2 linked regions of the Saccharomyces cerevisiae S288C genome follow. The protein of the gene in region 1 purifies or fractionates together with the protein of each later gene. This does not show direct contact. Each region holds a gene or a part of one and is shown on either strand. Other genes may lie near its edges.

Region 1 (5,665 bases):
GGAACGGAAGGACAGAGGTACTACTCCCAACTACAGCTGCTGTTGTTTTCAACCCCTTCTTTATCTTAGAGCGACGACTTTTCTTCTTCTTGTCCTTGATTTCCATCACATTAGAATCTTCATCTGTGTCTGAGTCTGATGATACAGACTTTCTGTCGTAGGGAAAAGTTTCATCATTGTCTGTAATTGCGTACTTCCCGCGCCTCATAGTTGTCTTTAACTTTACATTTTGCTGCGTGTTTATGATTGCCCTACCATTCTGCGTTTGGTCCGAATACACACGTGATAAGTTTTCTTGCTGCTGCTCAGGTGATCGTAAAAGCCTGTGCTTGAACCTGGGTTTACTTGTCTTCCTTTGGCTTCGCGGTATTAGGTCGGGTAAAGTGCCTTTATATATTATATTTCCTCCATTGAGTTTATTCATTGCCGTATAGTCTGACTCTTGCTGCCGCTGTGAGGGGTCCGTTAGAGAAGCCTTTGCTGAGGCTTTGGACGCAAGACTATAAGAAGACATGGAAGGTTCAGGAGGAAATGCCTCATCGGTGCTTTTTTCTCTATAAGAAGTTTCTTCTCCATCGGAACTTATGGAACACGATGATGACAGCGAGGTAGAGTAGGATACTTGTGGCGAAATAGATCGTGAACGAACATTATTATCATATGACGGCGGAGGTATCCTCATTCTGTTCAATTGCAGCTCATTTTTCAAGGCTGAAGGAGCACGTGGCGGTTTTGTTTCAGTATCCATAACTGGATCCCGGCTGCCGACACCGGATGATCTGTTACTAAATGAATTTGTGTGGGCTAGGTATGCAGCTGTCTCTGCAGCTGCTATACTACTTGGCGAATTTGACGCTTTATTCCTTACATCATAATGGATTGTCTGCAGAGGAGTCGTCGGTACGGAAAAGGCTTCAGAATGGCCTGGAAGCGTTTCCCTAGAGTATTGATGATTTATACTTCTCGGTTCCGGTTGTCTCATCCTCGGCAAAGAAGGCTCAGATTTCACGACAGGCGCAGATTCCACCTTTAGATGTCTCGGCCTCTCTGCGCTACCGGCATTGCCATTGGGGTGGGCATATCTCTTGAAAGTAATCTGAGCAGCAGTTAAAGAATCTTGGAGAGCTTCCTTCGGCAATTCCACCACGGAGAGATTTCCGGAATGCTTTTTTTTGGGGAAATGCATTTATACAAACGTCAGGGCGTGTATTCTCCGGCACTAAATCGACTCTTCCTTGTATAGGCCATCCCGCACTCTTCATCAATTACTAAAAAGGAACCAAATACGTCACTTTATAACCAATTTATTGATGTCGAACGGAGAGCAACTCCCTTGCGCCATCTATCGCGCGCCGTCCCAAAAAGAAAAAAAGCAAAAAAAACATAATTTGAAGAAGGTTCTCTCAGCGGCTAACCTTTCTTCATTCTCAATTATAACAATAATGATACAAATACTGGCCCTGATCAATAGTTTGTCATGACAGCCGTTAAGACCAAACCATATTGCTGTAGTTCATCTCATCCCACTGTTTCATTCATCACCCAAAAATTCATCGCTCCTTTCCCCAATACATATAACACCTTTTTCCTTTTTTAAATTAGTGACGCCTCTGTGAGAGGGTTCAGTACCCATTCCTCCATGGCAACAACTCTCATTTCTCAACGCCTTCACCTATCACTCTTCACTGTCATTTCTTTTTGCTTTGTTATTCTGCTAAATGTCTTTCATTGGTTTTCCTTTATTAAAACATTCTCTGGAGGATTTGCAGTTTCGGAAAAAAGAAATTTAATCCGATATGGTCCAATTTGGGAAAAAAAAAAGACTTGGCTAGTTCTCCTTTTCGTCTTTTAAGAATAGGTACTAATTACGCTACAAGCAGTCTGTGAGTATTGAGAGAGACTAAAAAGGGCAAATTAGTCTGTAGACTTCGCTATTCATTACCGTTAGTCCTTTATTTTTTTAACGTTGAAACATCTTTTTTTTTTTTCCAGCCTTTCTCATTGTAGATCAGTCATTTTTCAAGATGCCCATGGACCAATCTATCTCATCTCCATTGTTTCCCATGGAAAAGGATATTGATATCCCCCTCGATGCTACACCCTTGGCACAAAGTTCATCATTACAGCTTTTTATTCATTTAGCTGAACCAGTTGTTTTCCTCCAAGGCTTTGACCCTCAGAAGACGGAATATCCCTCGGTTGTTCTTCGGGGCTGTCTAGTGGTAAGAATACTGAAACCCACAAAGCTGAAAAGCATAAGTCTTTCGTTCAAAGGATATTCTAGAACTGAATGGCCTGAAGGTATCCCTCCTAAAAGACAAGAATTCGTGGAAATCAAAGATATTGTAGACCATACATGGGCTCTATATCCGCCAACTGAACAGAAGAGCAAGAAAAAGATGGATGCTTCCGCACCTAATGAGAGCAACAATGCAGCTAATAATTTTTTGACGAAGGAAAGTGGTGCCTCTCTTTATAGAACACTGTCTGATAATGAAACTATAACAAGCAGAAAAAATTCTATATCAGGTTTGTCCTCGTTGAACTTGTCACCTCTAGGTGCACCTGGAAATTCCTCTGTCAACGTAAAAGACAGAGAAAGTAGACAAAGATCTAGATCTTCGTCAGTCACTTCTTCCAATGGACCATCAAGAAACCTATCCCCGATAAATTTATTGAAGAGAGCCACGTCTCCTTCCGTGTCTCACCACAACTATAAACCTACGACCACTTCCATCTTTTCCGACTTGTTGAATAACACCTTTACCCATAATGATGCAGCATCGCATCATGGTCATCATATCCCCACCAGTAGCAATCATCTGGCAATGACAAGCAACAACTTCACCAGCGGGTCTGGAGGAGAATTTTTTGTCTTTCAACCAGGCGACTATATTTATGCTTTCGAAGAACTAATTCCTCAAGCATACCCAGAATCTATTAAAGCTGATTTCGGATTTGTGGAATACTTCTTATTTGCCAGTATAGAGAGACCTGGTGCCTTTAAATCAAACATTAGCGCCCGGCAAGTGGTTAATATCGTACGGACACAGGCTCATAATTCTGTGGAAGAAAGTGAGCCGATTATCATATCTAGAGATTGGGAAAACCAATTATATTATGATATCGTTATAGCATCAAAGGATATTATTTTAGATGCTTTTCTGCCTATCACGTTCAAATTCGCTCCCCTCGATAAAGTTACGTTGCATAGAATAAGAATTTATGTGACAGAGACAATGGAGTATTATTGTAGAGAAAAGAAGGTTCATAGGATGGAGCCCACCAAGAAATTTTTATTGACAGAACAGAAAGGTCCTAAATTACCGAACTTGCCCAATGATGCAAATTTGTCAAAGGCCAAGAATATGGGGAACCTGTTGCAGGATCCAAAGAATGGTGATTTAGTGAATAAAGAGTATGAGTACCAGATTTTTATTCCGAGTCGTTTCAACAACCATCAGCAATTGCATCCAGATACTTCTTATGAAAACATCAAAGCAAACCATTGGATTAAAATTTGCCTGAGACTGTCTAGAGTAGTAGATAATAAAAGGAAACATTACGAAATTAGTATTGACTCGCCAATACATGTTTTACATAGATTGTGCTCGCATGCAAATACCCTTTTACCGAGCTATGATGGACATCCTGCTTCTTTTCCAAAAGAAACAGATTCCTCAATTTCCTCAATATTGGAATCGTCTGATGACAATATAAATCTATACCATAACTCTAATATTTTCTTTCCCAAGGAAGTCCTTTCGTCTCCAGTACTTTCGCCCAATGTCCAACCATTAGACATTTTAATCCCACATTTACCTTCCACTTCATTGACCAGAAACTCTAGGCAATTCAATAGGAACTCAAAATCCCATCCGAGTGATAATACCATCTTCAATTCTGCAAAGTTGAAATCCAACATATATCAACCGGAGAGTTTGCAAAGAGAATTAGCATCACCCCAGGCAATCCCGCTCTCTCCAATAACATCGCCAATGTCAAATATGGAAGTGCCTCCGCCAGATTTTGACTTTTCTTCCGATTTCATATCTGATGCTGCTTCCGGAACCACTACTACTGAGGTATCTTCATCAGAGTCGAGCATCTTACCACGGGATCCACCATCTTATAAGGATACTGTGTTGCATGACAACAATCAAAAAAGGAGGCCTAATTCCAAACATCCGACGCCTCCAAGTTTAAAAGCTTCCCATCCAAATAAAAATTCGGATAAGAATTCTTCAGAAACTTTGAATAAAAAAGAATCGATGTCAAAGATAGAAGAAAATAAACACAAAAGAGAGACAACTCCTAAAAAGAGAGAAAATAGGGACGTGAAAAGTTTATCAACCCCACAACGCGAGGAAAGCAAAGACTCGACATCCACTGGGAATCAAAGTAACGAAAAGAACAGAAAAAGAGTATTAAGCCTATCGTCTTCATTACATAGCTCACCAAATAATAGCGGATTTGCGCATTCAGCTTTAGGAAATCTGAGCAATGAATCATTAAGATCATTGAATAGAAGGGAAAGTGTTCAAGATAATTTACCGTCCACAATAAGACACGATAATCCTTTTTTCACAGATTTAAATCAAGTTTTAATAGAAGACGAACTTAAAAATCATGATAAAAATGAACTAAATCGACATTCTACAAATACTTCGAGCACCCCCGCCTCAGCTAGATCCTCTTTTGACTATTCAGGAATTAATATAAGCAAGGACAAGTTGAACATGGAACCATTACTGAGTAAAACGGAAACGTTGACTAATAAAGTTAATGAAGACTCCTTTTTAAGGCCTAATGATTCATACGTTGATCTACTTGAACCCTCAGTAGATACTACGATTGATATCACTGCGCCGTACGCTAGAAATTCCTCTGCTTGGCATCCTTTACAAAACGATAACGATAACAATCAGTTTTCTCCACTTTTGGGAAGTAACGAGAATTTCTTGAATGCAGCTAATGCACAAAATTCTGCCGAATCAGATCATAATAATGACATTTTCACACAGGGCTCAGGATTAACGGAAAGCTCTAAGAATTCTGATTCCGAGGAAAGATTTATTTCAAGACTTTCTTCACCCGAGAAAGTACTGATTAATACGTTAGATAATGAATCTGGATTACAAAGTATAAATGAGAGTACCCTTTAGTCTAGCACAAGGTTCCTACGTCATCCCTTCCTGTTCTTACATCTGGCGTCCAGAGCAAACATAAAATATTAGAAACTCTAATTGTTATACATATATATGTTTATATCTGTTTATGGTACGTTCTTTTCTTTAATTTTGCTTTTTGAAAAGTGATGTTCGCAATCTATCTCACTAATTGGTTAAGAACAGTAGTTAGTTCGTCAGGGGTATATTTGATATGCTTTCTAGGATTCTTGAAAGAGTCTTTATATCTACTGTAGAATCTTTCATACATGGGCATAACCAACGATATTATTTCTGACTTCAAAGTTACTTTCAATGATGGATCTGAAAGCTTATACTGTTTTGTTTTTGATACTAAATCTTCGAATCCTTCATTGAATTTTCTAAATTTCTCCTTTATTTGTTCTTTGTCTTTTGACTTCTTCCCGCTACTATCAATAAACACAGAATCCATCAAATTTGCAGTTAAATCTCTCCAATCTGATACCATATAACTA
Region 2 (4,664 bases), 170 kb from region 1:
AGAACAATCCAAATCGACATTGTTATTGGAACTGTCGTAATCAATCTTCTCAGTACCACCCAGGAAATATCCGTTTGGACAATACATACCCAAATGATAACTTTCAAAAGAACCGTAACCAGTTGAACGCCCAGAGTGAAAAACATTCTCTGTAAAAGCAGCAGGATCGAAATTCACCACATCTGACATTTGATTACCAAGTTTAACAAGCATTGGCCCAGATTTGAAAAACTTAGCGTTTTCTAACTCATATTCATAGCTGGAACCACCATCACTAAAATTTAGCGAAAATGTTATGGATCCATCAATCGTATTATAGGAGGACAGGTCATTTTGAGCAGTACATGTGAAAGTAGTATTTTCATACAAGTATGCAGCCTGTTGCGAAACATAGCATTTGAAAGCCTCAGTACCATCCGCTAAGGAAATAGTAGCTGTTTGCGATGAGTTTAATAGCTTAATCCTATAAACATGTGGCATTGATAATGTGAATTCATCGCCCTCCCTAATGGAAGACGCATCTGCAATACTAAAATCAAAAGTGGCAGTCCAACCTTGATCAGGTTGTTTATTTGCAGTCAGTGGAGTAATTTCTAAATTGGAAAATGTGATATCGTTGATATTTATAGCAGAGGCCAATGCCAAGGAAAAAAGCCACAGAATAATTTTGAGAAAAGTGAACATTTTGAAAACTGGCGAATTGTTGTTCCTTTTGTGCTGACTATATTAAGCGAGGCGACTGATATAAGGAAGATATGAGAATGGACGATTACTAGAATAAATAGAGGGCATTTCGCATATTTATAGTATGCTAAAAGGAATCTTTTTTTGATTCACATGGCTTTTTTTTTAGAAGATTGCATTTCGTTACATGATCAAACAATTCCATTGTAACGTTTTTGGGAATATTTAAGCGCCGTTACTGAAGAATGAAGTGACATAAAGCTGCCATTGTATGGTAAAACACCAAAGGCGAGTACCCTTAGCATTTCCTTATCGAGCTGGAGCGGCTTCTACCTTCCTAATTAGGTCATCAATGACCTGCAAAACAAAGCGAAATGGACAAAGGACCTACACTTGCCTCGTGGCGGGAAACTGCATGTAGTTGTTCAATGTTTCACCACTCAGTGTTGAAACTGTTTACTCCATTGAATTGAGGTGACGATGGATAAACTTTCTTTATTTTTTATATTTTTTTATAATTTAATTAACCTAAATTGAGCCTAACAGAGGAATTTGAAACAACACAATAGAAAACATGAGTTTCAAAAGCTAAATATGGTATTACTATTCATAGTGGTCTTGGTAATGAATAATGCATATGTATACTCTTCTTAACGCCTTATCTTATGTAACCATACACTTTTTTAGTAAGGTTTCAATTAAGCTACTATTCTCAATTAAATACTGCTCTGAGCTAGATAAGGCCTATTGAAGTTGGAGGATTAGATGGATAGAAATAAGGAACTAAATCGTCAAGTTCGAAAGCCTATTCCCATTCATGCATATCACTTACCTTTCCTTAATCATGATCTCTTTAGTGCCATCAGAACTATTTTCTTAACATCGCGATTCTGTCTTCCGGGTATCGCTCCAAAAATGTGCGAGGAAATAGGAGATCGTTCAAATCATCAACTTTTAGTATTGGGTATCAAAGTATCGCAGCCTGGAAACAGAATTAATCTACTGCACAAGAAGGGAATACAGCAAGAACATTCACTTCATTAATAGGACGTATTTCGCTTATGTCCGATCAAAAAGTTTTTGCCAGATATAAAGCAAATGAAATCGTCACAGATCTGCAACATTTTGGAGTAAAAAAGTTTAAATCGAATATAACAAGAAGGAAAAATGCTCTGAGAAAAATTATCGCCAATTTGGTTCTAGGAAACTATGGCGAAATGTCCGTTCTGTTTTCTGAGCTCTTGAAATTTTGGCAAATTGAAGATGATCTAGAAGTGAAAAGAATTTGCCATGAGTATATTAGGGTGATCGGCGCATTAAAACCTCAGCAGGCCAGAGAGGCTTTGCCATTTATAATGGACGATTTCAAAAGCAGAGATGAAAAGTTACAAATAATGGCACTAAGAACTCTGGTATTAGTCCCGGTGAAAGAGCTATCTGATCAGGCCTTCGACTGTATCATTTCATTGGTAAATCACAAGTCTCCACCTGAACAAGTGACGAGGACAGCAATTTACGCACTGTTGGATTTAGATGAAATTGATCATGAAAGGGTATTGGGGTTATCAAGCATTCTACATGACATTGTAAAAGCACAGTCGAGCTCTCCAGAAGTCATTGTAGCTGCATTACATACTTTATATTCCATTCACGAAAAAAACGCTAACATGGAACCCTTCAGGATTCCCTTGGAACTCGCTTTTGACATGCTAGAGCTTTTACCCGAATTAAATGAGTGGAATAAGGCTACTGTTTTGGAAGTTTTGACGACTTCGGTTGTGCCGCAGCATTATTTGGATACCCATGAAATGATCGAACTAGCTTTACCGTACCTGCAACAAGTAAACACATACGTAGTGTTGAACTCTTTAAAATTCATCATGTACTTGTTGAATTATGTTGACGTCATCAAAGAAACTCTAGCCGAAAAGCTATCTAACTCTGTAATAGCTTTGTTAGATAAGCCGCCTGAATTACAATTTTTAGTATTAAGAAACGTTATTCTTCTTTTATTGAGTAGGGAGTCATCTCTACTCAGGCTAGACATTTCGTATTTTTTCATCGAGTACAATGACCCCATATACATCAAAGACACGAAATTAGAGTGTTTATATCTTTTAGCTAACAAGGAAACATTACCAAGAATTCTAGAAGAGTTGGAACAATATGCTACAGATATTGATATTCAAATGTCAAGGAAATCAGTCAGAGCCATTGGTAATCTGGCTGTTAAGCTAGATGAAGACTCTGTACACGATTGTGTCGCTGTTCTACTAGATTTGTTAGAATTCGGTGTTGATTATGTCGTCCAGGAGATTATTTCGGTTTTCAGAAATATTTTGAGGAAATATCCCAATAATTTTAAAGCAAACGTAACAGAACTAGTCAAACACACTGAAGTTGTACAGGAACCTGAATCAAAAAACGCTATGATCTGGATAATAACGCAATATTCGGATGTAATTCCAAACTACCTGGAGTTATTTAGAGTTTTTTCCTCAAACATGTTTAGTGAGACGCTAGAAGTGCAATTTTCCATTCTGAACTCAGCAATAAAATTCTTCATCAGAAGTCCTACAAAGGAAACTGAAGAACTTTGTATGGATTTATTAAAAGGATGCATCGATCACGAAAATAATCCTGACTTAAGAGATAAAACACTGATGTATTGGAGATTGCTGTCATTAACGAAAACGTCTCGTATATCAAACGCGATAACTTTTGAATCTTTAAAATCAGTACTGGACGGAGAGTTGCCACTAATAGAAATGAACACGAAATTAGATCCCACCGTTTTGGAGGAATTGGAGCTAAACATTGGTACAATAGTATCGATTTACTTAAAACCTGTTTCTCATATCTTTAGATTGAATAAAACCAAACTGCTACCACAAAGTCCTATTTTGAATCCAAACAAAGACCTCTTGCCAGTTGTAGGTAACTCATTTCCTCCAACTGGAGCTAATAGGGACCGTCAAAATTCAGAAAGCCAGTCCTCGACGAAGTCCAGAAAGACTGCTATGATGGATGATTATGATAAGCCCGCTGAAAAAATTAATCAGTTGAAAGGTAAGCGTAAATCTAGTTCAAACAACCCCTCAAAACTATCACGGAAACCCTCAACTTTATTAAGAAAACTCTCTATGAAACGGCCCTTTTCGTGACTGCAAATGATACTAATTCCTGTATTTAAATATACTCATATTTAACGAACAATTATGATGAATGAAAAAACCTGATATAATAGACTTAACTAAGCGATCATAAAAAAATTCAAAAAGTTATTTTATAAAACAATTCAGATGTTAAACTAAAGAGTTAATGTAATATATATACAATGAACTGCGTCATAAATTCCCATAGTTCAGCTCATGGGACATTATCTACTTATAAAGACGTGGCTTGGCAGCATTTCATATATAAGGCTACTGAATGTAAATTTTTCTTCCATTGTCTTTCCCGTGTCCCGAGAACTCAATTCAAGCACTGTTCTTGGGCGTAATAAACCTTCCGGTACTACTAAAATCAGACAAAGGCAGGAAGCCTCGATTTGACCTTTTAACGGGTAAAGCTCTAAAAGTTGCTCTCTGCTCCATATTCTCGTTTTCCGTCATTTCAGTATCTTTTTCCCCTGCCTCCCTTACCTAAAGCTTCCTCTTCGGCGGCTAGTAATTGGTCTCTTTCCTTTTTGGCTCTTAGCTTCTCTGTCTTTTTTTGTTCCATAATCAGCTTCTTCTGGTTAGGGGTTCTCGCACCTTCTTCCCACCTCTGAGCTTCTTGAGCTTCTAGTTGTTGTTTCTCTAGTTGGTCCTTTTCGTAAGCTTGCCTACGTTTTCTTGCTCTTCCTGCTGCCACTTTTTTGGCAGTTTCTGAGTATCTCTTGCCAGTATTATGCATGTTCGCTTCTTCACTATGTTTGGTGGTTTCTAATGACAACTATGCGGTTAGCAAACTTCCAAAAGGCGGTTAATAATACGACT

The links.
Region 2: the proteins of ALY2 (region 1) and APL1 purify together in Saccharomyces cerevisiae (affinity purification with western blotting; 2 studies listed by BioGRID, with this or other methods). This does not show direct contact.

What each region holds. Positions count from the first base shown.
Region 1 is NC_001142.9:274,362-280,026, reverse strand, and holds ALY2 (Aly2p), read left to right. Parts: upstream 1-2,024; coding exon 2,025-5,165; downstream 5,166-5,665. Other genes in the region: TAX4 (Tax4p), read right to left, coding at 1-1,186; GTP-Rho binding exocyst subunit EXO70, read right to left, coding at 5,329-5,665. UniProt on the Saccharomyces cerevisiae protein: May regulate endocytosis by recruiting RSP5 ubiquitin ligase activity to specific plasma membrane proteins in response to extracellular stimuli.
Region 2 is NC_001142.9:444,178-448,841, forward strand, and holds APL1 (Apl1p), read left to right. Parts: upstream 1-1,745; coding exon 1,746-3,848; downstream 3,849-4,664. Other genes in the region: SAG1 (Sag1p), read right to left, coding at 1-684; LSO1 (Lso1p), read right to left, coding at 4,300-4,581. UniProt on the Saccharomyces cerevisiae protein: Adaptins are components of the adaptor complexes which link clathrin to receptors in coated vesicles. Clathrin-associated protein complexes are believed to interact with the cytoplasmic tails of membrane proteins, leading to their selection and concentration.